Lepisosteus oculatus: one gene and its partners. The protein of the gene in region 1 interacts with the protein of each later gene in a pairwise test. Links are inferred from orthologs where the notes say so. Each region holds a gene or a part of one and is shown in the gene's direction. Other genes may lie near its edges.

Region 1 (7,175 bases):
GAGCTGCGCCTTGCCCAGGTGGATGCCAGCAGAGCTCTGTTGGCTTGTGGGATGGTCTCTTGCGAATGAGCTCAGCTCCCGGCAGAAAGGACATGTTGCAGCTAGTCAGAGTTAGCATGGGACAGGGGGCCTGGGCAGCTCTCCCGGGTGACTCGCGAGGTCACAGGGGTCCAGACCACACAGCCTGCTTGTTTTAAAAGCCCCCAGTCAGCTGTGTCGCTCTGCTTGGGGAATCCTAACCACAGCTGGCTGATGACATAGCTCCTTGTGGGGGTGTCCTAAGCAGACCTTTGTGGGTTGAGAGCCCCTCATGGGCTATTCTTTCTAATGTTTTGTAATAAAAAATTGAGTTCATGAAGTGCTTGGGGATGGATCTATAAATAGAGGACAGTGCAACTTTCGTAGCATTTGGACTGGATGGTCCTGCCTTAATTCCTGGTGCTAAAGTAGCTCCTCCCACCTTATTCTCCAGCCTGCCTCTCAGCAGGAGGGGGCTGAGCCACATTGGTGCCATGCAGCCCTTCAGCTACTAATTTGGAGCGTGACTGGCCAATTGCTGCTTCAGCCACACCCATTTATGAAATGAGCCCGCCCCCCCGGTCTGGACAGACACTCTTCCTGATTGGCTCCACCTGTCTGCCTGCGTTTCCCTGATTGGAGAAAGAAACTTTTTTTAAAAAAAAAAAAAGCAAGCAACCTAATTAATGGGAGAATTTCAGAATATGGTGATTTACGTTAATTTTGTGAAATTTGTTTATCATCACTGAGTTCATGGATGATAATTGACCTCACAGCCTGCCTTAACGATTCTGATGGAAGTTTAGAAAAAGATATACAATGTTTGTGTTTTAACAGGCTGTATTGTCGAGGTAGCAGGGGATGTGTGTGGGGGGGGGGTTGGCGTGGTGTAATTTACCAATATGAGGCCTTGTCAGAAGCCTTACTGATTTTGCACAAAATGAAACACTAGTGTATTTTAATTCTTTATATTTGAAATAAACGCAGGTAGTGTCCTGCTCTGAAGAAAGCTGTCTGGGATGGTTTGAATTTTTTACACACTCCTTGGGGAATGTATAGCTGTCGTCTCTTTTCGCCTTCTCTGTCTGGCACACTCAGTCTCTCGGTGTCTGTACACAGAAAGCCACCCTGTACACCCTGCAGGTGTGAATGACTTGCAGATATTGCACCCTGCCACCAGCACAAACGTCTGTCTGTCCACAGACACACACTCTCCCATTCCACCCCACTGCAGTGCTTTAAAGCCAGCGACTCAATACTGAAGCAACCACTTGGAGTGACCGGAAGAATCGGCCAAGTAGAGAGAGTGATGCCGTCCAGCTTTCCCAGCCCCAAGACCTGTGACCCCAATGTCTGGAAGTCGCCATCCCTGCCAAACTCTTACTTCAATGCGTTGATGCCCTTAATTAAGATCGGAATTGGCCTAAGGCCTCCAGGTTTTGCTTTTGCGTGCCTTATCTCTTAAAGTTTAAGTCAAATACAGTATATAATTTCACAAATTAATTTATGTCCAAGACTTTTAAGAATTAGTCGTTATTTCAGAGAAGTCAAGAGTCAAGCTAGATTGACCGGGTCCCCAGCTGGGCAAGCCCTGTCATGGAGGCCCAAAGTCCATCAGATCCAGCTGGTCTCTGTGAAGCACTAGCTTAAACCTCAGCTGTGCTCTACTGATGCAGTTAAGCCAATACCCGGAAATAGCTGAGGCAGGGGTTAAAAAACCAGCACAGCACACCTGTGCAATACCAGTAGAGAGTGGTCTGGAGCTGTGTGACACCAGCACAGAGACACAGCGAAGTACAGGTTGAGCTCTGGAGCTGTGTGACACCAGCACAGAGACACGGTGAACTACAGGGAGAGCTCTGGAGCTGTGTGACACCAGCACAGAGACACGGTGAACTACAGGGTGAGCTCTGGAGCTGTATGACACCAGCACAGAGACACGGTGAACTACAGGGAGAGCTCTGGAGCTGTGTGACACTGGCACAGAGACACGGTGAACTACAGGGTGAGCTCTGGAGCTGTATGACACCGGCACGGAGACACAGCGGCCCGCAGGTTGAGCTCTGGAGCTGTGTGACACGGCGAATTACAGGGAGAGCTCTGGAGCTGTGTGACACCAGCACAGAGACACGGTGAACTACAGGGTGAGCTCTGGAGCTGTGTGACACTGGCACAGAGACACGGTGAACTACAGGGAGAGCTCTGGAGCTGTGTGACACCAGCACAGAGACACGGTGAACTACAGGGAGAGCTCTGGAGCTGTGTGACACTGGCACAGAGACACGGTGAACTACAGGGTGAGCTCTGGAGCTGTGTGACACTGGCACGGAGACACAGCGGCCCGCAGGGTGAGCTCTGGAGCTGTGTGACACTGGCACAGAAACACAGTGGCCCGCAGGGTGAGCTCTGGAGCTGTGTGACCCGGCACAGAGACGCGCCGGCCCGCAGGGTGAGCTCTGGAGAAAACCAGGTCTGGCAGCTCTCTGCAGTCAGGGAACCAGAGATACTCCTAGGCAAAGCTGCAGTAACCAGCTCTGTCCACTAGAGGGTGAGATTGGTCCACCAAGAGATGAGTGGCACATTAACGGGTCAGTATGGGCACTTTTAAACTGAATTGAGTCGGCTGCATCTTTCATTGCGGAAGGGCTCCTCACTTTCTAACAATCCAGGTTCCCACACATCCCTGTCTGGTCTTCAGCAGGGTAGCAGGTGAGTCAGCAGCCACTACAAGCTTTTCAGCATAAAAGAAAATAAGTGCCTGCTTTAAATGGGGTTACAGTTAATTGCAAGGGGCCCTTCTCCTGCATCCCAGATAAGTTCTTTAAAGGTTCCAGAATGGTATGACTGGTTTGTAAGGTCTTATTTTCATGAGGAAAAAGGAGTTACATTCTCTTATGGGACAGAAAGGAAATCTCTCTCTCTCTCTGGTTGTGTGTGTATTGGACAGTACTGACCCCTGCCAGGTGAAGTCTGTTTTTCACTGACCTGCACAGCTGCCCCTTTAGAGCTGCCCCTCAGCAGCGCATGCTAATTCACAAATTGCTTTTATAGTTTTCAGCAATTGTAGGTGTAGGTAACAAAAGGTTATGCTGACACATCATTTTCTTCTTCCTGACAATGTAGACAAAGCAAGAGCTGGGCAAACAAGTGAGTTTAATATAAAAAATATCTGGAGAAGTTGTTAAAACTGTGCAATGCACTAGTTAGACCTCCATTAGAATAGTGTGTACAACTTGACTCCACATGCAAATCAGGAATATCTGCTCAGAAATCACTCCAGATTAGAGTAACCAGACATTCCTGGGCACTGACAGGCTGAAGGAACTGAATATTATACTCTCCAGCAGAGAAGACTTCAAGAGGACCAGATTATAGCATTCAGAAACCCAGTTTTTTTTTCAAGAAATAACTGCAGCAGTCCTACATTCAATCGAGCCATACTGAATCAATCAATGAGTTCACTATAAATGAGCTATAAGCAAATGCAATCAGGGGGAAGTGTGTAATCACACAGGCTTAGTGGAACCAGGGGAGGAATGTATTTTCAGGGTTAAGGTATAGAGCAGCTTGGTGGTGCGGTACTTAGTCTTGCTGCCTCGTAGTGCTGGGGTTCTGGCTTCAATTCCTGGGGTGCTATCTACGTGGAGGTTGTATGTTCTCCCCATGATTATGTGGGTTTCCTCCCTTCCTTCTGGTTTCTTCCCTCAGTCCAAAGACATGCTTACTATCGGTGACACATAATTAACCAACTAATTCCACGCAGTTCCGCAAATTGTATTAATACATCTCATAATCGAGCAACATCGATCAGTTGATGGGATCAATCGCGCTCAACTCCTCCTCGTCTATTCTGTCATCAGAATAAGCCGTGGCCTGGACACTAGCCGACACGCGCACTGAACGGAGCGCCCTCCGTATCTGATCCAGCCTGACCCCGATGCAGGTCCGACGCAGACGCTCATGCAGAAGCTTGAATTGAGGAAGGATGGGAAATTGTATTGTTCCGCGGATTAGTCCGCCTAGCGACGCTGGGGGGCGCTGATCGACCAGTGTGCATTTCCATTGATTTTTTCTCCATTCTTTTTCCCCTCCTCCTGCAGAGGGAGTATCCTGGAATAACGAGAGAAAGACGGACAGCTGCTACTGGGAGAGAAAAGGGGGGGGGGGACGAGTGAGAGAGAAAGGGATCGGAGAGCACGGATCTGGAGATCCCGTATAAACAGGAGGTTTGGAAAGAAGGAAAACTTTTTCTGTATTTTTTTTTAATTCGGAGAAAAGAAGAGGGGATTGAACCAGAAGGGATTGGTTTATTCTCGCACCGGAGCTGTTGCGTTTGTTTTCTGGGTTTGTGTGTGGGGGCAAGACGCCGCCGCGGTCTCTCCGGCTTGCCGAGCCAGAGGATTAGAGCTCGCCGGTCGGTGTTCGGGGGGGACCCGGGGAAGCGCAGCGGAGAGCCGGCGGCCCCCGGGCTGGATGCGCCTGGCCTGCCCCTCCCCAGCGGCTCGCTATGGGGGAGACCAAGATCATCTACCACATCGACGACCAGGAGACCCCGTACCTGGTCAAGCTGCCCATCCCCGCCGACAGGGTCACTTTGGCAGACTTCAAAAATGTCCTCAATAAACCCAGCTACAAGTTTTTCTTCAAATCTATGGACGACGATTTTGGGTAAGGCGGCAGGACACCTGCACGGTTTGTTTTGTTGTTGTTAATTGTTTCAGTTCTGGGTGACAATTGTCCGTGTTATTGTTTTTTTTTCCTCCTTTATTTTTCTTTGCAAGCCAACTACTTCTGCTCTTGCCCGTCCCCTCACCCCCTCCTCTTCCAACCCCCTCCGCCGCCTGCTGCCGCTCCCGGCTCCCCTCTCCGGTGTGCGGGGAGAGAGTGACCCCCGGTCCCGGAGCTGGAGCTGGGGAGGGAGGGAAGGGAAGATGGGAGCGCTTGGACACTCGGTGCTTGGTGCGGTTTGCAGAAAGGATTTTAAAAAATGTCGCGGAAGCCAGATTTTTTTTTTTCCATATCGACAGCGTCCATTTTGGAAATGGAGGAGTCCTATATAAGGTTATTGCCTGCGCTGGCGGGGGGGTGAACGCAGGAGAGCGCCTGGATAGGGGGAGTGAGCAGCTCTCTGTGTGGCCGGAGCCTGGGATTCAGTTACAGGCTCTGGAAGGGGGTTTGGTTCTGGCGGGGGTGGGGGGTTGCAGGACCGAGGTCAGACGGAGCTGGTGGTGCATTTTTGGTGGAAAATAAAGTCCAACAAGAATCGGGGGAGTGAGCGAAAGAGAGAGATGGTGGGAAGGTCCTACACGAAAGAAATCCCAACAATCTCGCCACAAGTTCAGTAGGGGGCCGGTGACATCACCTTCAATCTTAAATCAGAAAGCAGACGGGAAGGATTTGTTTTAAATGCAACAACAGTCCTTTCACATAACTACAGCCCGAGTACCTTTTTAATTTGAGTGCAGGAAGGTTTTTGTTTCAGCATTATGCGCGATTATCGATTCCATTTCTTGCTCTTGCACCCTAACATGTTAAAAAGGAGGGGAATTTTACTACCCCAAGCGCTTGCCGCTTGCCGCTTGCCGTGCGTTTTGTGCGGCGTCTCTCTGCACTCGGGAGTGAAAATGGCGGATACGAGTGTGGAGAGGTGGGGGTGGCTGGTACTGCTTTTGACGGACGGGACTCTTTTGTTGTGAAAAGAAAAGAACGAGGAAAAAAAAATCTTTTGTCCCCCATTAGTTTCTCACACACGGAGCCGCTCTCTCCTCCCTCTCTCGGGGGCCTTGGCCTGCGTTTGGTGCGCGGCGCAGCTTCTCTGCCCGGCGAGGTCGGGCTGCCTCGCCGGCCTGGAATGTGGGTTTTGGGAAAACTGTGAACCCGGAGGAGCCGCAGCTCGCTGTCAGCTCCGCTCCGCTCACCCTCTCTGTCCTTGATCTGCACACATATGAGGCCGGGCTCAGACTGAAACAAAGAGGTGCCTGGCATCTTCGGATGTCTTCCAAACGCAGCGCAGCAGGCACTGAACGCCGAACATCAGCTGTTTGACACATGCAGGGCAGGCCGGGCGGCCGACTCAGAGTTGTTTAGGTGACGTTGTCTCAGTTCCATTGTCTGACCGCTCAGGCTGGCCTGTGCACACAGCTCTCGCTACCTGGCTGACCAGGCCTTTTCCCGCACACCGCTGTTAGCAGGCCTCCTGCATAATCGCAGGGAGAAAGAGAGTGTTAGTATCAAGACGCAGAAGTTTGGTGGGGGGAAAAAGCAGGCCAACTCGGATAGGATTCTGAGTTAGGTGACCGGTAGTCCAGCCAGTGAAGAGCAGCCTTTGTGTTTTTGTTGTTGACTGTCCTGCCCAGTTGGTTAAGAGGGTGTTTAATAAGGCTGGTTGGTGTCAGGGGCTGTGGAGGAGGAGGTCAGGGAAGTGGACCTGCTTTGTGTCTTACTTGAGCTAAACAGGAGGCAAACCAGCACTTTCCTCAAGAGACACTGGTTTATATTAAACCTTAGATCTTTGTAGCTTAATGACTCTATAATTGGCCTAATTGGTCCAAAATGCCCCCGTTTCTGGGTGGATCTGACCTGCTCAACACCAGGCTGTGGGTTTGTGATTTTTCTGGGGTCTGGCAAGAGGCTCTGTGTGGAGCCAATGTTGCCTGTAACCCTGCAGGGCTGTCTCTTTCAAGAGCTGTTCATTTACCGTGGTCTGGTAGGTGCTATCTGGGAGGCTGTTGAGAATCGGTAGTCTGAAAAGCTCCTATCCAGTGTGTTTCCACAGTGAACTTGTGCTCTTGTCTATAGAGTGTTGTTCATGGCCTGTTCCAGCAGACCCACGCCATTGGTCGTACACACTGTTTTTGTTTTAAACGATGAGTAAATGGAGCTAACAGTCACACTGAAGAGAAGCCGGAGCAGCAGCCGGGTTGGGTGGAAAGAGTCCTTTCCTCCGGAGAGCCTGCTGGGAGCCCAAAGGCTTAGGAGTGTACTGTACATGAAAAGCTCGTAAAAAGACGTCTTCAAAGCAGGCCTGTCTGAAAGCTGTGACGATTTTCTGATCCAAATGAGAGAACAGAGCAATTTGTCAGTTGGGTTTTCAGACAGGCCTGTTTCTACAACTCATTCGGATTTTGAGCCTGTTGGGGGGGGGCTGACCTACAGCA
Region 2 (7,758 bases), on another chromosome or scaffold:
GTGATGAGAGAACCTTCAATGCGTTTTAATGAAAACCTTCTGTTTGATACTCAAGATTAACAGGATTCCTTTGTGGCATTTCATAATAGCATAAATATAAATTGTTTTAAAACTATTTTTTAAACTGTTTAAACCTTTTTCATATTCTTGTGTTTTTCATGTAAAACATACAGCATGGTCATTGAGATTACTGAAAAGTACTGAAAATATGTTTTAGTTTGTCACTTAAACAGAACACTGGATCTAAGTATTATTTCTAAATGGCTAACACTAAACTAAGCATTTCCGGAGGACTTGGAGAAGGAATTAAGTGCAACAACTTATTTTGCAGATTGTGTATAGTAAATGTGACCTATTTAGATCAGTTTTTTGGAGGAAGAGAGGAACTCCTTGAAGCTTAAGTTCAAATGTGTTGTGGTTCCAGTTACTTGTAAAAGATGATTATTCCAGAAGAAGAAATTTCCAAATCCGGCAAAATAACTTAGATTTCTGCAAGTGTTACTATTTAAGCAAATGTAAGATGTTTCTGATGGAAACACAAGAAAATGAACTACACACAAAGCTGTGAAGACCTTTAAATGCTGCACTGCACTTGGATTCATCTCCCCAAAAACGCTTTTTATATCCAGTCTTCTTAGAATGTCTGTTTTTATTTTAAAAGATGGTCATCTGAATGGAGAACCACATAAAAGTCATCAGAATTACCAGGGAAGTGAAGGTGTTTTGAATTACTCTGAAAAGCGATTCAGTGGAGTGGTGCAGGGTTTTCAAACTCTGTAACCAGAACTGTTTGACTGTGGGTTCCAGTCCTGGGTGGAACGCTACTATCAGTACCTTCTAGTACCTTAAGCAAGGTGCTTCAGTAAAAGAGCCAGCTGTATGAATGCAAGATATTCAGCCTAATTAATAGTATGCTTATAAAACCACATTATGGCATTACCCACAATGTGGGAGTGTGACCCTTAAGGACCAGAGCTGAGTATCAGTGTTATAAAGAATTGCCTTTCCTTTCAGCTCAGGCATGATGATGATTTCTCTTTGCTTTTTCCAAAGAACTTATAGTTTCCATTTCATTCTGGTGCAGGCAACACGTCTGGGCCTGACTTGTTACCCGTCTCCGTTACAGCCTGTCTCAACCCAGGAGCATTTCCTATTACTGCACACCTGCAGGTGGGTGTTCTTCTGGGATGTGCAATTAGGGAATTTGTGGCATCTGTTAAGACCTTATCTGGCATCATAATTCCTGCAGTCATGCCACAAAAAATAAGTGTGGAAACAGTCCTCCTTTATGTCCATTTATCTTTCACAGAACGTGGTTTCTCTCTCTTCGGTAAAAAGGTTTTTGTTTTAATTTTTTCTTGATTGATCAAGGTGTAGATCAAGCCCAGGGTAGTGTTTTGCAGGCATGAAAGTGTCCTGCACACAACCCTGTGAATGGAGAAATAAATATGTCCTGCTACTGTTTGCTGGTTCCACTTGTCCCTCCTAATGACACACCCCCTGCCATCTTTACTGGTCACTGGATAAAACTAGTCAAGCCTTTTTGGTTTCAGTATCTGTTTGAGGAACAAGGTATTGTTATTTCTCGCATTACAGGAGTGTTATACAGCTTAACAATAACTGTTTGCTATTTTCAATTTGTAATAATAATATTGTGAGCCTGGTCAGTACCTGGATGGGAGACTCCTGGGAAAAACTTAAGGTTGCTGCTGGAAGAGGTTTTAGTGGGACCAGTAGGGGATGCTCACCTCATGGTCTGTGTGGGTCCTAATGCCCCAGTATAGTGACGGGGACACCACACTGTAAAAAGGTGCCATTCTTCGGTTGAGATGTAAAACCAAGGTCCTGACTCTCGGTGAAATCCCAGGGTGTTTCTCAAAGAGTAGGGATGTTACCCTGGCGTCCTGGCCAAATTTCTCATTGGCCTTTACCAATTGTGGCCTCCTTATAATCCACATCTCTGAATTGGCTTCATCACTCTGTTCTCCTGTTCACTCTGTGTGGTGAGTGTACTGGTGCACTAAGGCTGCTCTTGCATCATCTAAGTGGGGGATGCACATTGGTAGTGGTAGTTTTACATTTCCTGTAAAAGCACTTTGAGTGGAGTTTCTAGAAAGGTGCTATACAAGTATAAGTAATTATTATTTATTAATAAATTATTCTAATCATTTGATAGAATTGTCCCTACCAACCTGGTACATCAGCGTGGTACATCAATGTTTGTAACAAGATTTACAGTACGGCAATGTAGCATGATACTGTTGAGCTCCTCACAAACTGCATATATAAGTTCCCTTTTCGGGTATGCCATCGACTGATTTTTAAAAAGCGGTTTTGATCAATTTCTACTTTTTGTGACTCATATTGTGTCCTTTTTATATTAAAAAAATATTCAACCTTTTTAGCCCTGGCTGACACTGCTATGGTTCTCCATTTTAAGGGAAAAGCACAGTTTTGGTTTCCAGTTCTTTCTTTTTTCCCTTCGTTCTGCATATTTCTGGAGAAAGAGCATTCAAGTCCCAACAAGACTGTAGCTGGAAGGTATTTTTTTCTTCTTCAGATAAGCCAACTGTTTCCCAGCACTATTGTTTTCTGTATTGGGTTTCAGAGATTTTTGAAGCTTATGAAAAGATGCTGTGTCTGATGCCAAACATTTGTGATTCTCTTGAAATCCTGTTTATGGATGTGCTACAGCCAGTCATCCCGTCGTCCTGGAGTTTGCATTAATTTCAAACCTTGTGTACTTCCAGAAAGTGTTGAAATTATCAGGCCCGGTTGTGGTACATGTAGGATTATGGGATGTATGAGTACCCTGTGTGTTTTCCCGAGCACCTGAGGTTAGAAGTGGACATGGAGAGGTAAATTCAGTACCATTAAGCCAAAGCAGAAACTGATGGCTTGGAGCATGCTGGTCTCGTGACCACAATCCACTGGGCTCATACTGTAGTTCAACATTGTCAACATTGAAATGACTGCTGAAGTATCTTGTTTAACTCTTAATTCTGGCAGCCCTTTTCTGTCCCCGGGCTTGGCAAGAAGCCATTTCGTTAGGAGCTTTTTTTGAAAGTATAATTTTGACCAAAACGGACCAGGGCTATTTTTATTTATTGTTTTTCTATGTTTAGTAATTGAGTGGCTTCATTAAAACCACTAGCTAAAAGAACTTTCCTGTCTCACAGATCTGCTTCTCGTCATGCGCAGTGCTGAAAATAACTGAAAAAAGAACGTCTTAAAAAGTTTCGTTTGTCAGCTATCATTCAGGCATTTAATTGCAATAGAAGACACGTTCATTAAAAAAATGCCAAAAAAATACAAATAGGTTTTTACAGTGACCTTTATTTTCTTCATGTAGGAAATTATTTTCCTGTGTTTTACAATTATAGTTAAAGTTTTGTCTTTCCCTCTAGTTGTTTAAATACATTACCGAGCACTTTATCCCTACTTGGACAGTTCATTACTGACACATCGTTCCCCTTCCCCCCCTTCTCTTCCACTTTCATACTTTCACAGATAAAACCACGCTTAGTTATAACAGGCCAACAGTGGAAAGCCTCGTTGTCATGGAGTTGTCTTAGTAAACCTTATTAGGCCGTTTGTCTCTGGGGCAGCACCCCAGACCATCTCCATGTATAATTTTCCTCTGATCTAGCAATTTATTTTCCACACTGTTAGCTTATTCCTTAAAAGTAGTTTGTGTAATCTGTATTTAACTAATGCCTATTCGCCATTACTTAACTCCTGGGCATGTATTTGTTTTCATAATTCTTCAATCTGTTGCTGGTATTATTTATGAAAATAATTTTCTGATTAAAAAATTAATTAACTGTTCTGAAACTACAACTACATTTCCTGGAGTGGATGTGATGGAAGGAAATTAACGCTGCAACCATCTGAAGGCTAGCAGTGCAATGTTCTGTGCTTTAGTGATGGCGGACTGTATTCAATCGCAATTCGCAATACACAATTTTCATCATCTGTAATCGGATAATTTATCATCCCACCCCAGAGCTGAACCAGAATCCCTCTTTTCCAGACGTAGGAAAACCTCACTTTTTCTGGAGAGAAAGCTCCCTGGCGTTGAGTTTTAGTACTTTTATACATATGCTTTGTAGTTCAAGTAGGTAGCTGCTTCAGTGTGCGTACGCAGCAAAGGAACAGGACTCAACTGAAGAAGGCTGTACAGCCTCTGTGTCTCTTTTCTTTTCAACATGGAATACACCTTTACCTGTTCCTGTGCCCTCGTGTAGACAGTACAGTCACCTTCACCAGCAGCGGTCAGGGTGTTTCTGAAAACAGCTCGCACCTTATTTGACTTTCGGCAGTGCGCCCAGCCAGCAGTTTCAAGGCACGTGTCTGACGCTGTCTTACACTCACATGCCAGTCAGAAGGAGACTTGAGGTTCACGACTGGAGAAGCCGGAGCAGGACTGTCTTTCATGAGGACTCTTCCCGCACGAGGTCACTGACGAGGCCTGAGAGTCAGGCAGGCTACTTCCTGTTCTCTTCCTGCACATGATCTCACAGTTTGCTGATGCTGTGACTTTCAGCTTCAGTGAGGATTCTGACACAATGCAGGGTTAAAGGCAATTGCAGGGGGAGGAGGGAGGGAGGTTTGGTGTTTAAATGGCTGTGGCTTCTCATACTCAGATTAAAAAGAAAAAACAATTCAAACTGAGGTTTGTGTTAACAAGGAAGCAGGCTGAAATGTTAACATAGGCTTTTATTGCTGTACAGATAGATCAGGCTTTCTTTGTGTGCAAGCTTAAACCTAGAGAATCAGTGTTTATAGAGAATGCTGAAATGCTTGCTCACACCTGTCCTGCGGCAGACACTTAAAATTGTTAGAGAATGACTGTTTTAAGTCTCTTTGTGCCTTTGGGATCGCCAGCTTGCACAGCTCCTTCTCCCTTCAGCAATGTGGCAGTAAGGAAGAATATCTGTGTGCTTGTTAGCCCCCTCTGGACACAAATCACACCACACCTCCCCCTCCACCCATCCCTACTCCTCACCTGACATTTTCGTCACACTCTACACCCCCAAAACACTGTCTGCCCGGTTCCCATAAAAGCTTGCAAAATGTCCCCATGTGTTAAAGGCCTTACAAGTCTTTGTCTCTGTTAAAACACAAGTGATGGTCAATCACAGGAGTCTTGAGTCAACACAGAAAATAAATCTTAAGGCAGCATGCTCATTAACAAGCTCCAGTTTGGGTTCAGCTTTTGTGATTTCTAGGATTGATATAAATTATTCTACCATACCCAGGCTTGTAATGTCAAGTACTGATTGACTGAAAGGAAGATCAATTTCATAATCCTGAAGAAGAAAAAAATAGGCTAATACATTCTTTAGCCTGATTCCTAATTTTTCACTATATACAAATAAATCAAACTAGATAAAAAATGCCCCACCAGACATTTTACTGGTAAATTTTGTACAGTGGTCACTGCGGTACTCATGCTGTCTGTCTGGCTTCTGTTGAACAATTCTGACAAAGATTAACACAGTACTTTTTTATGTCACAATAGATGTGCTGTTAACATGGTGGGACATCTGTATGCTAACAGCACATCTACTTCAACATCCTGTAGCACTGCACTGTGTTCCCATTAGCTGAAAGATTTCCACCATTCCAAAGCAGTCTCGTTCTGGAAAGGAATGTATTGCATGTCTCTTTTGCTGACTCTTTACCCAGGCCAGTATATTCATCCAGGTTGGCAAATGTGAAAGGAGCTGTTTTTTCCAAGCTTGAAGGGAGTACAGCAGCCTGCACCCTGACTCACTGCCTGTCAGAGAAAGGGAATTGGCTCACGTCTCTGACATCAGTCACAATCAAGAAGTGGAGACAGGAACTGTGACTTAGAGTCTGACTTTGTTTTTTTATTGGCTCACCCCATTTTGTCAATATTTCAAGCTCAAAATCGAAGGGGTATGAAAAGGAATATATCAACACTAGATAGTGACCTTGAAATGTAAGAAACCATAGTTTTGTAAATTTTCAAACTCAAGTTGCGATCAAAACAATTTTACAAAGTACATTCTAATTTTATTAGACTTAGTGTCTGTAAAACTAATGCTGAAGCATTCAGCTAATTTTAAATATACAGTAAGAGAGGCCCCTTTGAAAACATCCTTTGATTACTTAAAGTAACTAGCCAGATTATATTCAAAACATTAGACTACCACTGGATTTTGACTGGAAACTAGCTATAGAATTAGGATGAACAATTTCTTGTCGCATTCCTGTCTTACAAATGAGAAGCAATATTTGTTTCATTTCCTACAGTGTAGCGAGATGTTCTTTTGGTTTTGAGATGCTTGGGTTTTCCAGTAACACCCCACATATCTCCAAAAACAGAAGTAAGAATGGTCACTGTACCTTTTGTTTCCTCTAAAATATACCGGTTCTTGTCAACTGTTCGACTTCCATTATTTATCACATTTAGCTCTGCGTTTGGGCATCACGGCATCATGGCGGTTAATATTTCTGCCTGACAGCTCTGGGGTTGTGGGTTCAATTCCCAATCAGGGGCACATTCCAGGTGGAATTTTCATGTTCTCCCTCAGTTAGCCTGGGTTTTCTTACGGCTCCCAAAGACAAGCTGGTTAGGTTAAATGGTGTCTCTAAATTATTCTTGTTTGACTGTTTGTGTGTGCCCTGCGATGGATTGAAGACCCAAGCAGGGTGTTGTCTTAGCATGTGACTCCAGGCAAAGCTCTTAGCTGTAATGGTTGACTGGAACTTGATTTCTGATGAAGGGTGTGTTTTACTCTTGTCCTGTAGGACAAAAGCTTAAGACATTTCCATGTGTCTAATCTTGTGGTGTCAACGTTCATAGAGGCAGAGCCCAGCGAATCTGCTGCAGGGACTGAAGTACTGTAAACGCCTCTTTCTGCACTGTGTGATCAAAAAAACAACTGTGGGAATAAGTATCATCCTGGGAAAAAATAAGTTACAGACTCAGTCTTGCTTCCTTACAGTCTTGCTGGCTTACAGACTTGTACACAGACAAGCAGAAAGTACCACTTAGCTGGTGGTGACAAAAGACCAGTGACAGCTGCAAAAACAGCTCTGTACGGAGGGCAGCTGTGTCTAATGAAAATCACACCGCTGTCTATTAGTTGTTCCTTGGCATAGCATTCCTACAGTGTGACGACATCTTATCTGTGCTTATCCCAAGTGAATTTCAGGTACAATGCATTCTGGTGATAATTACATGCATGAAATTAATTTAATGCAATCTATATTAAAATCAATTGAATAGTTTGTACAGAATTGCTACATCTTTCACTGCAGTAGCCGGATGTGACTGTTAAGAACAGACTTTGTGACATGACTGGAGTGGTGAAGACAAGTGATTGTATAGGACTGGCACATATTTCATTAGAACAATTCCATACCTACAGTACATTACTACATTCTCACAATTTAATTACATTAAAATACTATCCTGTTAGATATTTGTAACCACTTTGGTATTTTTAAAGGAAATATCTTCTTAAACATAAACTACTACTGTTAGTTTTTTTTTCTGTCAAACATTTTCTTTAAATATTGAGTCGCAATATTCAGAAGCGTTTATTTCTGTGAAACCCACTGCTGGGCAGGCTTAGGAAATGGTCAGTTTTAAAATGAAACTTTGTACAGCAGGTAGGCCTAAACAGAAATGCTAACGGTTGTGGGTTATAAACTAAAAATCCTTAGGCAGGGTAATGGTTCCAAAAAGCAGTGTAAAGTCTGAATGCATAAAATTACTGAAGG
Region 3 (7,988 bases), on another chromosome or scaffold:
GTGATCAAAAGCCTAACCCCTTCACTGCAGGTCAGTGGTGGGTCCTGCTGTAACACAAACTGAAACCCTTTCAAACCGCGGCTAAGTCGCAGGCTTACTGACAGGTCAGCGCGCACCTCCTCCTTCCGACCAGAGCTTGTCTTCCTTCTGGTCTGACACTGTCTGCCTCTCAATCAAGGGCAACTTTCCTTTTCTGTGGCCATTCTAGGCCCGTTGCAGCCTTTCTTCAAGCTGTGTCACATGACTGTCTGGTGTCTTAGTGGGCTGGCATTACAGTTACTGTGCTTGGACCTCTTCCAGGATTCTGCCTCTGAAGCCGGTTCCCTTTTGGGGAAGACTGAGCAGACTCCTTGTTCCAGGTCTTCCTTTCTCTGCTTCTTGTAACAGCCACCAAGTATGGCACAGCAGCAAGCTGTTGGACTTTCTTGTCCTGTTGGGAGTCTAGGCTCAGCCTGAATTCCTCCCAGCCGACTGCTCTCTTACAGCCCCCTCGATTACACTCAGAGGCATTACTGATTCCATGGAGAGTCTATCCTACCAGCTTTGTTCTCCTCCTGTTGAATTCAGTACTTCTTATATACATCCACTGATGCTCTCCTTAGTCAGTAGGTGCACTGACTATTGCTGCTGGCTGGGAATTGATGTAATCAGATGGAATCCAGCGTTCAGCCGGCGCTTTGACCCTTGTCTGTAACGCCCTCCTGCTGGTGGGTCCACAGGGAAAGGAGTTAAGCTGGAGGGTGGGAGGAGATGAGCAGGAACTGGTTCTCTCTTGTTCCAGAGCCAGCATAAGGCTCTCTCTACTGCCTCTCCCAGCCTTCCAACTACTCTCTTTCTGTCCCTGTCCCTCCCAGTCAGCATTCTCCACACTAATTCAGCCCAGGTGTGTCGAATTCTGCAGCACCTCCCAGTCCCTCAGCTGCCAGCTTGGCGCAGGGCCACTCCATCGCCCACGATTTGAGCCAAGATGGAGTCAACTCATGGAGCCACTATCACTACATCACAATGATATCATAGCGATAGAGTGTAAGAAATAGTTGAAGATAAAGATACTGTAGGTTACAAATGAGAAGAGGGACGTTTTTGGCAAGTGTAGATCAGTGGTTACTGGAAGTGCATTGATCCAGAGATCTAGTGAGTCCTTTTTTTAAAAAAGAAGTAATAATCTAAACTTCAACAACATGATTAGGTAGCTTGCTCCGGACCCATCAAAAGCCTTTGTGTGTAAAAGGCGCTTCCCTGAACTCAGTTCCAAACTTATTTTCCTCATAGTTTCCATGTGAGCCCTCCGAGTTGTTCTGCTGAAGAAGTCCAGTGGGTTGATATTGTTAGCGCCCTTAAGGATTTTGAGTACTTGAATTAGGTTCCCTCACAGTTTTCTCTGTTCAAGACTGAGCAGATTCAATTTGTTCAGATTGTAAGGAGGAGAACATTCCTTTCAGAACATGAATGCACCTGGTCTCTCTTTTCTCTTATTTGGACTGATTTCAGAGCGTCAGCATTTTTGTAACATGGTAACTAAAGGAACACATTCAGCTTCATGCTGTAAAGGACCAGCACAGTTTTAGCTACTTTTCTTCCCATCAGTATCATTAGCAAGATAGATGAAAGTAGTAAGAGCCTATTAAAATACAGTCCAATCATAAAGATTAATCATTTATAAGGTGGAGGTTGTTTAAATGCTACAAATCTAAGCAAACTGCACCTTTCACAAAACGTTTATGTATTTTTTCATGTTTTGTAAAGCCAAAGCATGATTTCACAACTGTAAAAGACTGTATTTGTGTATTACGTTGCAATTAAATATTGAGCAATTGAGCTTATCTGCAAAATTGAGACAATAGTTTTTGGTGACAGTTTACTATTTTTTGTCCACGGCCTTGTAATGAGAATGTCTGTACATGTTAATTTTGGCATTATTTCTTACCTATGGGTTTAAACACATTATGAAATGCCAGTGTAGTGTAGTAGGCCTTTTAATATTAATTTACTGTACTTGTGCCTCGCTGGGACTGTAATATTCGCGAAGGGTAAAACGTCAATTGCTTTTTAGCTGGATTTGCGGCGTTCTATTATAGAATTAATCTAAGCCCTGGCATTTTTAAAATGATTAAATTTGGTGAAATGTGTGAATATAGTTTAGGTTTGTAAAACCGACTGTTAGTTTTTCATCGAATTCTGTTTTTGGTTTTATTTCCCCCGACGTCCGCTATTTTCTTTGTGTTCTGGGTTTGCTCCGCTCATGAGATCAGCTGCGCTATTGATCGCAAAAATACGCACGATTTAAGACAATGCTAAACCAAGGAGTGAAGTCGCAGGAAATTAATAACCACGAACGCTGCCATTTCAGATCTGTTAATGAAACAATTTTTCAGCACTAGTCATCAAACTTTTCTTTGCCTTTCTCAATAGAAAAACGCAGTTCAGTTTTCTGTATGCGATCAAATCCTTAGTTCTGGTCGGCTTGTTCCTGCCCCTTGGTGATCTACGCATGGGAACACTGGTACCATTGATATGCAGTATCTTGTCGTGTTGCTTTGTGGAAGTTATAATTTTGGCGAGATAATAGCTCGATTGTAAATTATAGGATTCTACTAAATGAGTCGGAGACCAAGACAGTGAAATTCGCTCAGCACTTTTCCCAGCATTTGACTTAAGGATTCCGACAATTTCAGGCACAGGTTTACAATAATACCCGTAAATATATTGTCTTTTTGAGCATGCATTACAGTAACAAGTGGGGCAAAACACCTGCCGTGAGTCATAGACCCTCTGGATATTCTGCTTGTCAGTAAACCTTATAGTCTGTACTTAACCTTTTTATGTCAAATTGATATCAGAGATTGCAGTTTATTTTTAAAATAGGGTATTCTTACACACATAACCTGAGGAAGCTGAAATCGGTTTTCAAGTTATATGGCTGCAAGTAGATACGGCCAAGATGCCCAAGATGTAGTTCTGTATGCAGTTGTCGGAACGTTGGAAAACGATTGCGATCTTGTTCAGTTACAATTAATTTATTAATCACGTTGTTACTTCACGACAAACGTGTTTCTAGACTGTATCCCTTTTATTGTAAACAGTTAAAACCACACCAAATGCAGAATTGTTGTATTTTTGTATTTATACAAATATAAGATTTTCAATTTTCCATGTGTTGTATAATTCCCATTCTTTGTAATTTGGGCCTTGTGTGTTACCTTCATTCTGTCTGACTACCAGCTCCTTAAAACAAATAGCCTGGATGTCGGGATCAGTACTGGGTGACAAAATCCGCACATGAATTTCATGAATTTCATTAAGATGAAGACGAATATGATTCCGATTTGTTGGGTGGATTAAAATCAAAATAAACCGACATCACAGGCAAATACAGGATTTTCAAAACTTCAAACGATCAAATCATTTTAGGGGACGCATTGGGGTCCGGCTGGGTTTTCCCTTAGTTGAAGAGTCAAAATCGTGAAACGTGGAATAAATCAGCTTTGATTCATCCTGTAAATTCTGATGATTCAGGCACCACGCCCTTCCCGTCAGTGTAGGCTTAACTCACGGAAACCTGCAGGTCGTTTAATCTGCGGATCTGTTGCTAGTTTTGACCAGGAATTTGCTCTTTGATGTCCTTTAAACAAATCTTATAATTGGCGAAAAAACGTTTTTTTTTTATTTTTCTATGTTGACAATAAAGAATGAAAAAACTTTTTCTTAACACAAGGATAACATCCAGTTTCTATGAACTGCACGTTAACACAAGGGAAGTGTGGCATTTTGTTTGAATCGTGGTGTTTTTTTTTTTACTTTACTGCATGCTAAATCATTCGCTTGATCACGCAAATTGTGACAGAATTCCTTTGTTCTCAAGCATGTGTGAAACCCAGGAGTTACTTATTTAAGGTCGTTGTTACTGCAGTTACATTTTTGAGACGGGTAAAATGTGTACAAGGAGTGTATTCTCCAGCCAGTTAAACGAAATGCATAAAACTCTTTACAGTTTTAATGCTTAATGCTTTACTAGACTAACAGCTTTTAGGTTGATGTGGGTATTGTACGGCTAATTAGAAATATGTCATGTCATCTTGTTCTAGGAGGTAAATTTGTGCAGGCGGAGTAATTAACAAAGATTTTGACAGCACCTGAATGAGAGTACTGAGGATTTGAGCACGGCCGCTTTTAAGAGGAAAGAAGTGCACCTGTGCATTTGTCTTCATTTAATTCACCGAACTACGAAAAATAAACCATTGATCGATCGTTTTAGATTGTTGAAACACAAGGGACTGCAAAGGGTGTAATGTGGCTCTTAACCATTATAAAAGAAAAAGATCTTTAATACCAACTAAAAGCGTTAAGGTTTCAACCTCAGTATTTAAACGAGTGAGCCACAAGATGTTCATTTCAAGCATTTCATTCATTGCTTGTATTTTAATTTGGGGGTATTGATCCCTAAAATACAAGTAGATTAGTGGTCAAATAATGTCAATTTAACGGTGAAACCAACTAATATGGCCTTGTTGCAGCTACCCTTGTTTCCTTTTAAGCTGTGAGGTGATCCGATTATGATGAAGATTATGAGGTTGATGAAGATGATGATGGATCTTGCACCATTGAGGTTTCTCCGCCGTGCGGGCGCTTTAAGGAACACAGAAAAGAGAGACCAGAGCCGAAGAAGAAGCCGAGCGATGGAGGGTGGATTCTAAAATAACTTGTATTAAAGAAGAGAGAAAAAGTAAAATGTCACGTTGTGATTGGCGGGTAGGGATGTCAGACGCTGTGCGTGTGCGGCCCAATTGGCCGAGATGAAGTTTTATTAAAATCAGAGCTTCTCCGATTGGAGCCCTAATCAGGAAGAAGGAATCGAGCTTCGTTTTGCACTTTTGGCTGCACGGAACTTTCAGATTAAAATCCATATAAAATCTGTCATTTTGACTCTCTTTCGAGGTTTTCCGATGGGAGGGACGCGGTAACTTTTAGCAAAGGAAGCACGATGATATCGGTGGATTGGATACTGTAACGACGAGCATCGCATTTTACTCAGCAAGGAAAATTCCGACGATCAAGGGGGAATGCAAAACGTTTTTTTTTCCGAAGGTACTAGCAGCTGACTGTGAAAGCGACAACTTAATTGTGCTACATCTTCATACCAGACCTTAACCGTTAGCTGCATGTGATGCTGGTATCTAGAAGCAACCAAAGTTAATGTATTTTAATTTAAAAGATGAGCCTTAAAATGCCAGGCTGCAACAGCAGGTTTCGCGAATGCAGCGCATGAATATTATCTTGAAGCATGCTACTTCGGAAGTAGGTCACCGTTTTATACGTCTTGTCAATTGTGAGATTTTTTTGCTTCACGTTACGAAGCAAAGAAATACCATAGCTAATCTGTTGGAAGAGGGGAGCAGAGCCATCTTTTCACATCCCCGCCGAAACTTCGTGATGTTTTAACAGGTAAAAATATAACCCATATTTTTTGTTCTTTTATTTGTATTTAAATATTTTGATCCACGTTGATATGTACTCTGGAGGCAATAGCATATATTTCAGAATAGCATTTGATAGAATGGGAGTCGATGTGCCTTTAAATTTTTTATGCATGTTTTATTGTGTAACCTTTAGAATTTATTAGAATCTAAAGCGAGTTCAACCAGTACAGTCCAATATACTGTACAGTAGATACTGAGAAAGTGTTGCTGGTCTTCATCATTTTAGCTCGACTTCAGCACCACAAAAAGTACATTATTCACCAGAGTAATCCACATAATTGCATTTGCAGTAATTGATGTATTTTCGATACGGTCAGCTGTCTGGTTTCGAACCGACTGTATGTTTGAATGGCATTTACATCATTCTAGGTCCTGGGTGATACGCGCCTCGTAGGGTTCTGGAAATAAAGAATTGGTTTTCTACGATCCGCCCAGCAGAACCGCTTCTGCTTCTGTTTTTCATGGTCATCTTAGTTTGAATGCATGTACATTATCGCTCATCCCCGAAATGCAAACACGACTGGACAAAACCTTTTCCCATCCCCCCGTTTAATCTTTCTCCCATATGTTTATGACTTTAACCTTCGTTACTTATTATCGACACCTGCTGAGAAGGAAGGCCGAGACTAAACAGTTACAGACACATGCTTTTCCTAGAAGCGAAATACTGTACGTCAGATTAAGGAAGGAATGACTGCTCTTTAAGTACCGTAGATTGCAATATGATCAGAGCATTTCTGCGTATAACTCTGTTTTATTCGCAAAACTATGGAGATTCAAGAGCAGAGTTTTAATCTATGTTTATTCTGATCTTCTGCAATATGTTTATTCTACGGTGAGTTGCTCGGAAACAAAAAAAATATTTTCTCTTTAAAACGGCACGTGTTAGTCCTACAAAAAGTATGAAATTTGAATAGTCGAAGTTATCGTTGCTTGAACGCGCGAACGCAATTATTCATTGAGATGATGGACGGCGATTTCATTTTTGCGTTTGTTCAGAACTCTTTCATACCACTTTTTCCAAATCTAGGGTTATAATGAACGTAATAAGCATACATTTACATTTTAACTGCGGTAAGCTGGTTCCATGGTTTTGTATACGCCGAATGCGGTCGGTGTCGTTTGATTGTTTAGTTTCTCAGGTGATCATTTGGTTGCAATTCTCCGTTCTCTGTTCAAACCGCGGTTTACAGTTGTGATAGGTAAATGATGGGCGAGTCGCGTGTCACCACATGCAGGAGCACTTCAGCTAGTCTGTCATGAACTGGGGAGGAGACCAAATGTAGTTCTTCACACCTTCGCAGAAAACGTACTTGGAAACTTTAAAAGCGCGACAAATGCTATTGGTTCCAATACAATGGACATTTGTTGCGTTTTAATTTCTCTTCGTGTCTAAGTATGATAATTCGCAAACCCTCAGAAACCTATGGTACTGTATATTTGCTCTTATCTGCACAACTACGGTACACCTCTTCATTCTCACGGAAGCCCCCAGCAGCTCTGTTAACCTGTAGATAACCTTTGGCTGCGTCTTTGCTGTGTTGCCTAAGGCATATTAAAGAGTTTTAATGGTTCAGTGGTCTTTGAGGCGAGACGTGTTAACATGTGTTGTAGAATAGCTGCTACTACTTTTACAATTATATTTCCTTGTTTCACCTGCAACTGTTTTGTGAAAAAGTGTTCTGCTACTGCACATCTGCTTGGCTTTGTAATGTGTTTTGTGCTGTGTGGGTTTTGTTTCTCCTGAATTATGTTATCACAGTATTTTTGTGGTGTTGAAAGATACTGAGTAGTTCATGATATTTGCACTGACCATGAGATATTCTCTCACAAATGTGGACAGGGACACAGCTTATTAAAGTGTTATCAGAAGAGATACACTAGAATCCAGCCTAATTTCTCATAGAGGTTACAGTTAAATATCTGGAGACCATTATCGTCCTGTTCTGATGAATGATTTGTGGAAGTGTATGAAGAGGGTTTAATATCTTGGCATCCTGAAAAAAATTAACAGTTAATGGAATGATAACAAATATCTAAACTTTGAGCCATTTATGTTGTGAACCTATATTCTCACTGAACAATTAATGCTGAGGTTCCAAAATACTTTATTTCCTTTTTTAACATGCTTTCAACGAACGGCAGATATCTGTCACAAGTTTGTTTTTTGCCATAAGATGTGAAAAGCAATAATAGACATGTACCAAATCAGCATAAACATGCCTTGTTACTGTCAATCAAATTACTTTGATCTTTGCTGCTGACAGACACAGAAATTTGTAGTTTTTTTACACTCTAACTATATGGACTTTTTTTTTTTACTGAATTCTTTCATGGTTCAGTAGATCAAAAAATCTTATAAAACAGTAAAAATAAGTAACCTATACAAGGAAAATCACTCGAATTGAAGACAGAGAGGTGCTTTGGAGGATTCGGTGCTTACAAAATAGAATTCACTACAGATTAAAAAATCTGGGAGTAGCATTTTCACAGCTGCTCAATGCAATGCAC
Region 4 (7,588 bases), on another chromosome or scaffold:
TAGCTCACAGGTACCTGGCACATTGCTGGACTGATTGCAGGGCACCTACTGTAGCTCTGATTGCAGTCAGCCAATTGTGTTCCTTGGGAATTTTGTTGCTTGGGAAATTGTGTTGCTTGGGAAATCCTGGATGAAGTTGACTAATGATATAGTCGAGTCTCAAACCAGTTGCATCTCAACGTGTGCTCTAAGTGAGAACCGTTACTGAACCTCAGTAGTATATTACACCTGCATTATACTAAAGAAGCACATACTGAAGCCATTGTCATTTGACTTTATCTACACATATTTTACGTGTTTTTTTAAAAGAGCTCACAAATAATCTTTTTGACTCATTTGCAGGTGGCTGTCATTTACAAACTGCACGTAGCGTAGCGGTTAACCATTTTCCCTTATTATTTTAGTTTTGAATAATATTTTTTTTAAAGATAAGCAACTGCCTGAGGTCATTGTAGAGTCAGCACCTGCTGGTGAGCTGTCTTTTTATTAAACAGATAAAAATGTTCCCTTGATATTCAAAACACAATTCGTAGCCCCTCGCCAAAAAGAAAAGAAAAAAGACATCAATCAGGAACATCTCCATTCTTTGCAGGAGTTTGGTTATTTTTAATTTCAACTATGCCATAAAGACAATTAATTTCAACTCCACTACCAATATGGTATTTCATATAAAAATAAATTAAAACCCATTTTACTGGATAAGGTGGAACAGCGTCTTATAACTTTTAATTTTAAACACCAATACTAGGATTTATTATTTTATTTCAATTCTACTTCAATATCAAATCTTTAGAAACATTGCCCGTTTATAGAAAACCACGATTATTCACTAAAGTTTCAATGCATGATCACTGTATATTTACGCTTAATGTAAGATTATGTTTTGTTTATGTTTGAGGTGAAGAGTCTCGTTTATTTTAGAATACAATATTTATATATAGTCAGACGTTCCTGGTAGTGCGGTGAATATGTTGTGGTTCTTAATAAGGAATATTGCAAAATGCACATCTAGAGAGAGTATTTATTTGACCTGCACATTCCTAAATATTCACTAGTGCACTAAATTCATATATAGTTTTGTGATAATTGTGATGTTTATTGTTAGAACGGTGGGTATCTGATTAAAACAATTATTAAATACCGGAGGTGCATTACAAGCTCCTAACCCAAGTGTTACTAAACATGTTTAAAGAAAAATACCGGCTGGATGCTTTTATGTAACGGCTTCATAGGAGCGGTGCGTAAAGTGTCTTTCCGGTGGTTACATCTCAGCAGCTTCAAGGACAAGTACAGTACGAAACTATAGTTTGCATATTGTACTACAGGACGAAACTATAGTTTGCACAAATTGTATATGGGTCTACTTCCAGGAGCACTTAAAAATCACGACTACGACAACAACAACATCAACAACAACAGTAATATTAATACTACTACTACTAATAATAAATGTAAATGACCAAACACAAAGAGAGGAAATGTTCATGTTCGATGTGTTTTTAATGTTTTTTTTATAGTTCTCTGGTATAGACTGTTTAAGAACAACGCGTTCCCATTGTCTAATTTGACAAGGCTTTATCCTCGTGAAATTCATTTGAACAATTTAACACAAGAAGAAGTTTATTCCCTCTATCTTCATGAGTGCTAAAAGCCTAGATCAGAGCAAACAACATCGTGACAGGTGGATTTCATTTTGCGTAAAGCAGTGTTCTTTAAACCTAAAAGGTTGAAAATACTATCGTCTATAGTCACAATCAGAATGACTCAGAAACCAGACCTCAGTCTAGATTCCCAGTTCTATTTTCAAATCCAAATTTGAGATTTTTTCTTTATTTTCTAAACATTTCTATTTATTCTGGATGTTGTTAGATAAATATATGGTTTATAAATGTGCTAGTCAAAGATGTCACTATCAACACCTGCGTAAATTTAAGATCAGTTCGACAATTTAATCCTCATGCATTTTTTATTTTTTGTCATAAAGATGTGTGTATTTAGGATAAATCTTACGCTGTCAAAGATCTGAATAGCGAAGTACCCCTTGTCTTAATATTCGTTCCAAGAAAACGTTAATTTAAATTAAAAGACAATTTTTAGTTGTTTTTTATTCAAGAAAATCGTTTGTTATTTGCCTCTGTGATCATAACAATAATTGTCATTATTAGAGTAGTTGTTACGTTACCATCTTCCTAGACTCAGTGTAAAATACCTAAGACTTTTCTCTCTTGCCTTTTTCATATTAAATATTTAAAAATGAATTTTATTTTTTGATTTCGGCACAAATCTTGTCGTACATCTTCACCGCAATTTTCATTTTTTAAAACTTTCATAAAATTAAGAGCAAATTCTGTTCAGGAGAAAAAGGTTTGAAAACGTCCATTTTGTAACTTGTCACTGATGATGAGGCGGATCTGATAGAAATCATGACCTGAAATTTAGAACTTTCGATAACATTTTATTATTCACCCATTTTCTACTGTTTTTTTGTGTTTGTTAGGTTGATTATCCTTTTTAATTTTGATCTATGTTATTATATCTAATTAGATATTTTTGCAGAAGCAGTCTTTCGGATTTAATAAAGGCTTTTTAAAATTAAAAGGCAATTACCTCGTCTCCATAGCATATTTAGAAATTCATTTTGATGACACGAATAGAAAATCTAAGATGACTGATTTTAAACAATTTCCACCCACATTTTTTTCTTGAAATAATCTGAATTTGCAAATTTTTCAGTTAAAGTTTTAGTATTTTAAGAAAGTATTACTGTATATTTCTTCAAGTATAATTATCTTGCTTGGCTTTACAGTAGATATTCTGTAGATTCATAATAAGGTCTTAAGTAAGACCACATACAATACTGTATGTGATACATATAGTCAAGTAGCATATTTAGTATCCAAGATGTTTTAATATGTAAGATGTATCGTCTTGAAGGATTTAGAGAAATAAATACTGAAATGATTTTGTTCTTTAATTTAAAAAATAATTGAAAGCTCGTTACATCCATTTAAAAATAATTTTGGTATAATATGTCCTAGTCTGTATTAGTCTCTTTTCCTCCACAAAAGTTTGAAAATACTGGAAACATACGAAGTCTGTCAAACCACTGGAGAAAGATAATTCCGTTGAACACGTAAATTGATTTTTGTGCAATGGTTTCGTACATTCTACCTTTTTTAACTGTTAAATGTTAAACACGAAATGCAATAGTACTGGTAAAATAATGTAAGTAATTACGGGTATAATTGATATATAACCATAATAAGCAATCATTTGAAGTCCGTCATGCAGCTTTCTTTTAAACACACAGTAAGAAACCTGGTAATCCTAAATTAAACTTCCTAAATTAATTGCCTTCCACCCGTAAATTATTATACGCACATGTAGAAGTACGTTTTTCGACGTGACAGTAATGTTAATCCTATCTTAATTGAAAGTAATCTTGGGCTACGAAGTAAAATTTAGCAACATACTGTATGTACAGCTGTTATCACTTATAACTTACAGTAACGATAGCTTGTCCCGATTGTTTATCTATTCGGTTGAATGCTTTCACACATTAACACGATGTTTGTATGTAACTTTCAAACGGTTAAATGAAGACCTGTACGAACTCAATGGAGCGTGTGAACTGCAGCGAATATGGTCTGGTACTGTAGGAATGTTCATTATGGGTTTAATATCGGTTTGAAGGTGTCACCTCAAGGAATGCATTGTCATGTTTTTCTTTGCGTTTGACTCTGAAATTTATTATTGAAGATGTCTTGCAACTGCCGTGTGGTTTACTTTAGGTAAAGCTCTTCGCTTGTTGCTGTATACAGTATAGCATGTGATTAATTTATACCTGAATATCCTGTTATTCTATTTTTTTTAAACTAGAGACACACAAACACAGCATCCTATACTCTATCCCAAAGATGCGTCACTAATAATAAGCAATTTTAGCCATACTTAACACGCAACGACTTTGCTTGAAACAAATACAATACTTGCAACACTCTAGCTGTCTAGGTTCTCTAGCGAATTATAAAAATGTAGTGATTTTTGGTTATTTTCCAGTTTCGTTTTACATCTGTATTTTGCCTGAATGATAAATGGCAGCATATTAAACGAAAACACAAATAGCAGATTTCCTGTGTATTTATAGAATAAACAGCACAGACTTCCAAAAAACCAAACCTAAAAAAAAAATCAGCACTCACAAGTGCATTCGCCAAGCCAAGAAATAAATATTATGCGATGTACTTACAAGCCACAGTCTCCTTTTGCACAGTCAGTTTAAAAGTAGGTTTTAGTTGTGCTAGGAGTAAGTGAAAAGATGTAACTGCTGGGGATGAATTATTATTGCCCCTCCAGCTCCCCACACCCCCCCCCGCCCCCCCCACACACACACATACTCACACACACACACTTGCAAGCGCTTTGTGTAGCACGGGCAGGAGATAGTGAAAGCTGTGGTAAGGTTAGTCAGTGAATGGCTCATCCTGGTTGCTCATTGGCCCTGACTCCTCCTACCCCAGAGTAATGCTGTATTTGAGCTTTCGGAACTCCAAAGCAAATAGACACACAGCACCAGAGCCCTGGGCAGCTCCTCTACTCCCCTTACTCCCCAGTTTGGTCCCCTGCCTTGGCAGCCTCGAGCACACACCAGCCACTGCTCACCCATTTGGATCAGCAAGGATTTCAGCGCTCAAGAGCTCCTCCAACCTGTATGGACTATTAGATTAGTGGACAGCGGTTTTCTCATTTTCTTTTTTTGGGGGGGGGGGGTCTGAAGAGAAAGACCTGAATTGAGAGCGTTTCTGCACCGCAGAGTCATGAATCCCTGGAACAGCGACTTAACCCTTTCCTGAATCTTATTCTACGGAGTGAGGAGGCTTTCCCGAGAAGTAAATATATTTGTACGTGCAAATATATACTGTAGACTTCGCACCCTCACCTCCCTGCTTTCTTCGCTTCGTGAACCCAAGTGCGCAGCAGCAGAAATTAGCTCCCAGGTGGTGGGTGCAGATGGGTTCGGACGTTCGAGATCTCAATGCTTTGCTCCCGGCAGTGTCTTCCCTGCCAGCGGGGAATGGGAACTGTGCCTTGCCAGTCAGCAGTGCTCCTCAGTGGGGGCCGGTTCTGGACTTTCATACTGGGACGCCCTACAGCTCCCTCGCCCCTCATTCCTTCATCAAGCAGGAGCCCAACTGGAACTCCGCTGACCCACACGACGACCACTGTGGCCTCAGTGCCTTCACGGTTCACTTTTCTGGTCAGTTCACGGGGACAGGAGCCTGTAGGTATGGGGCTTTTGGGGCCCCAACACCCAGCCAGCCCCCTCCCAATCAAGCCCGGATGTTCACAAATGGACCTTACCTGCCCAATTGTATGGAGACCCAGCCAGCCGCCAGAAACCAGGGTAAGATATCTTGTGTCAGTCCTGCTGAGCATTCTGGAACCTGTCACTGCTTCTCAGTGGACATTCTGACAGATGCAATTTCTGTATTAATTTTCCCTCAAAACACTATTATGAAATAAGATTGAGCACTATGTATTCATTTAATGAGACATTTGATTTTTGAATGAAGTCTGGAAACACTCACTGTCTTAATTTAAGTAAAAGTTGAGCGCATTCTTCAAGTACAGTTTTGTTTTCTTTCTTTATTTGACATTTTCATTCAGAATTTTTTTTTTTCCCTGGCACTCACTTTTGATGAAAAACATCAAAGGCATTTTTTAATTGTTAAATTAAACCAAAAATGTTTTAATACCAATAGGGCTTCAGATTTAACATTCCAAGCATCCGATCTGAGGTTTAAACATGATCAAAATCGTCTACACATTTAGCATTTCCTTTTTCTGGTGACATGAAGAGAATATATATGTTATTGACATACCTTGCAGATTTACTTGGCTGTTTTAAAAATGATAAATAAATATGTTTGCACTATGGTGGCTTCAGTTCTGAAGCTTATATAGGAATCGTAATAATTCTAATAATAAAGGAGTATGCTGGAACCATAAGTGCTTTGCTAGCCAGAAAATAATCTGAAGGAAAGATGTTATGCACTTTCAAACATTACTTCATAGAGATATCAAATGTAGAATATAATACAATTACTTATTTTTTAATAATAGATCTTTTAAGTAGAATTCTAAATATTAAAAAGACAGTTTAATATGATTTCTAACCTAATAAAAAGCATTTACTTAAATGGAATGAATTTTTAAATATTTGCTTGCTGATGCTATAAAACAGAATGTCTGGTGTGTAACATTTATCTGAATTGCATAGCTTGCAAAAATATGTGACACAGCACAATGATACACAATGATAATTCATGTATTAGGAACTATTGTACTGTTGAACTATTGTAGTTTAATCTTAGAAATAAAAGGTTACAGTAAGATACAGTTCTAAGTATTCCAACATACAAGTAACCAGAAACATAATCATTTATTTTACATTAATTTTACAGGTGTTGTTGATAATGTAATAAAGGATTAAACATTTCTTGACTAATCTGGCAGTCTTTATAGTACCTTAAATCCATGTGCAAAAAAGTATTAATTTAATGACTTTAGGAATATTATGCACTGTAAGATACTTTATAATATTAGTACGTCATTTTCAAACCATTCAACTATATGACAAAAAAAGTTATACTGAACTATGCTCAGATTTTATAATTAAAACATAAGTCTGTTGCTGTTCATTAAAAATAGAATTCTGAAAAACTACATTTGACACAAAAGTAAATTTCCTTAAAATTACAATATTTAAAAATACCTTTTTGGAGCAAATACTTGAAATGTAAAGTTTTGGTTAATAGATTACATTGGCGGTGTTAGCACTGTGGTAGGGTAATAAAACACAAGAAACATTTTTAACTTTTCTGACATTTTCATATTTCATCTTTTTTCCCATTTTGAACACGTTTATCATTATGTGTGAGCCATCATTTTTAAAAACAGCACTCTGGTTTGACTATTTTCTACATGCGATAAGTGATAAGGGTCAAAGTTTTTTTCTCTCAAAGCTGTACAGTTTTGCATATCCTTAAATGCTGCATCTGTGCATAAATGATAATGAAAGGCTCAAAAAATGTTTCTTTTGAGCTACCGTCAAGGTTGGATTTAGCATTAAAAACTCTTTCAGAGCGTGGGAATGATTTTACCTTGGCTTATAGACTGGTTTTGGCAGTGTTGGAAAATAAAACTGTCGAAATGTTGCCCATTTCTTTTTCATCTCCCACTCATCTGGGTTTTCCCAATAACTGGATTCTTTCTGAAGATCACAGTGTGCAGCAGATAGACAAATTTCAATTATTTTCAGCACATTTTAATCAAGCCCAACTTTGATAAAGTCCTAATTAAAGAAACCTTGCTATCAAAAGCTTTGCTCTGTGCTCCAGACTCCTTATCACATTCCTTAGGTTTGGACCAGGCAAACACCGGAAAACATGGCCAAAAATCATTCCGCTTGGTGCATTGTTTTGAAGGTCATGAAAAGTCTGTACCAAGCCAGTCAAAAAAGAATGTTGTGCAAATGAAAAAAATAAATCAAAAGACAACTACTATTTCCTGAGTAGCTGAGCTGGTA

The links.
Region 2: the proteins of segment polarity protein dishevelled homolog DVL-3 (region 1) and snx22 interact in binary tests that used the Homo sapiens proteins (3 or more experiments, as listed by UniProt). The two-hybrid records come from large-scale screens. The link is inferred for Lepisosteus oculatus from reciprocal best matches to the Homo sapiens genes DVL3 and SNX22.
Region 3: the proteins of segment polarity protein dishevelled homolog DVL-3 (region 1) and bahd1 interact in binary tests that used the Homo sapiens proteins (3 or more experiments, as listed by UniProt). The two-hybrid records come from large-scale screens. The link is inferred for Lepisosteus oculatus from reciprocal best matches to the Homo sapiens genes DVL3 and BAHD1.
Region 4: the proteins of segment polarity protein dishevelled homolog DVL-3 (region 1) and Wilms tumor protein homolog interact in binary tests that used the Homo sapiens proteins (3 or more experiments, as listed by UniProt). The link is inferred for Lepisosteus oculatus from reciprocal best matches to the Homo sapiens genes DVL3 and WT1.

The regions. Positions count from the first base shown.
Region 1 is NC_090708.1:16,798,852-16,806,026, reverse strand, and holds the start of segment polarity protein dishevelled homolog DVL-3, read left to right. Parts: upstream 1-4,155; 5' UTR 4,156-4,525; coding exon 4,526-4,686; intron 4,687-4,859; exon of another isoform or gene 4,860-5,005; coding exon of another isoform or gene 5,006-5,079; intron 5,080-7,175. UniProt on the Homo sapiens protein: Involved in the signal transduction pathway mediated by multiple Wnt genes.
Region 2 is NC_090700.1:60,321,770-60,329,527, reverse strand, and holds the start of snx22 (sorting nexin-22), read left to right. Parts: upstream 1-4,617; 5' UTR 4,618-7,758. UniProt on the Homo sapiens protein: May be involved in several stages of intracellular trafficking. Interacts with membranes containing phosphatidylinositol 3-phosphate (PtdIns(3P)).
Region 3 is NC_090703.1:12,318,138-12,326,125, reverse strand, and holds the start of bahd1 (bromo adjacent homology domain-containing 1 protein), read left to right. Parts: upstream 1-4,831; 5' UTR 4,832-5,060; coding exon 5,061-5,085; exon of another isoform or gene 5,086-5,442; intron 5,443-7,988.
Region 4 is NC_090716.1:7,828,712-7,836,299, reverse strand, and holds the start of Wilms tumor protein homolog, read left to right. Parts: upstream 1-4,553; 5' UTR 4,554-5,010; coding exon 5,011-5,404; intron 5,405-7,588. UniProt on the Homo sapiens protein: Transcription factor that plays an important role in cellular development and cell survival. Recognizes and binds to the DNA sequence 5'-GCG(T/G)GGGCG-3'. Regulates the expression of numerous target genes, including EPO.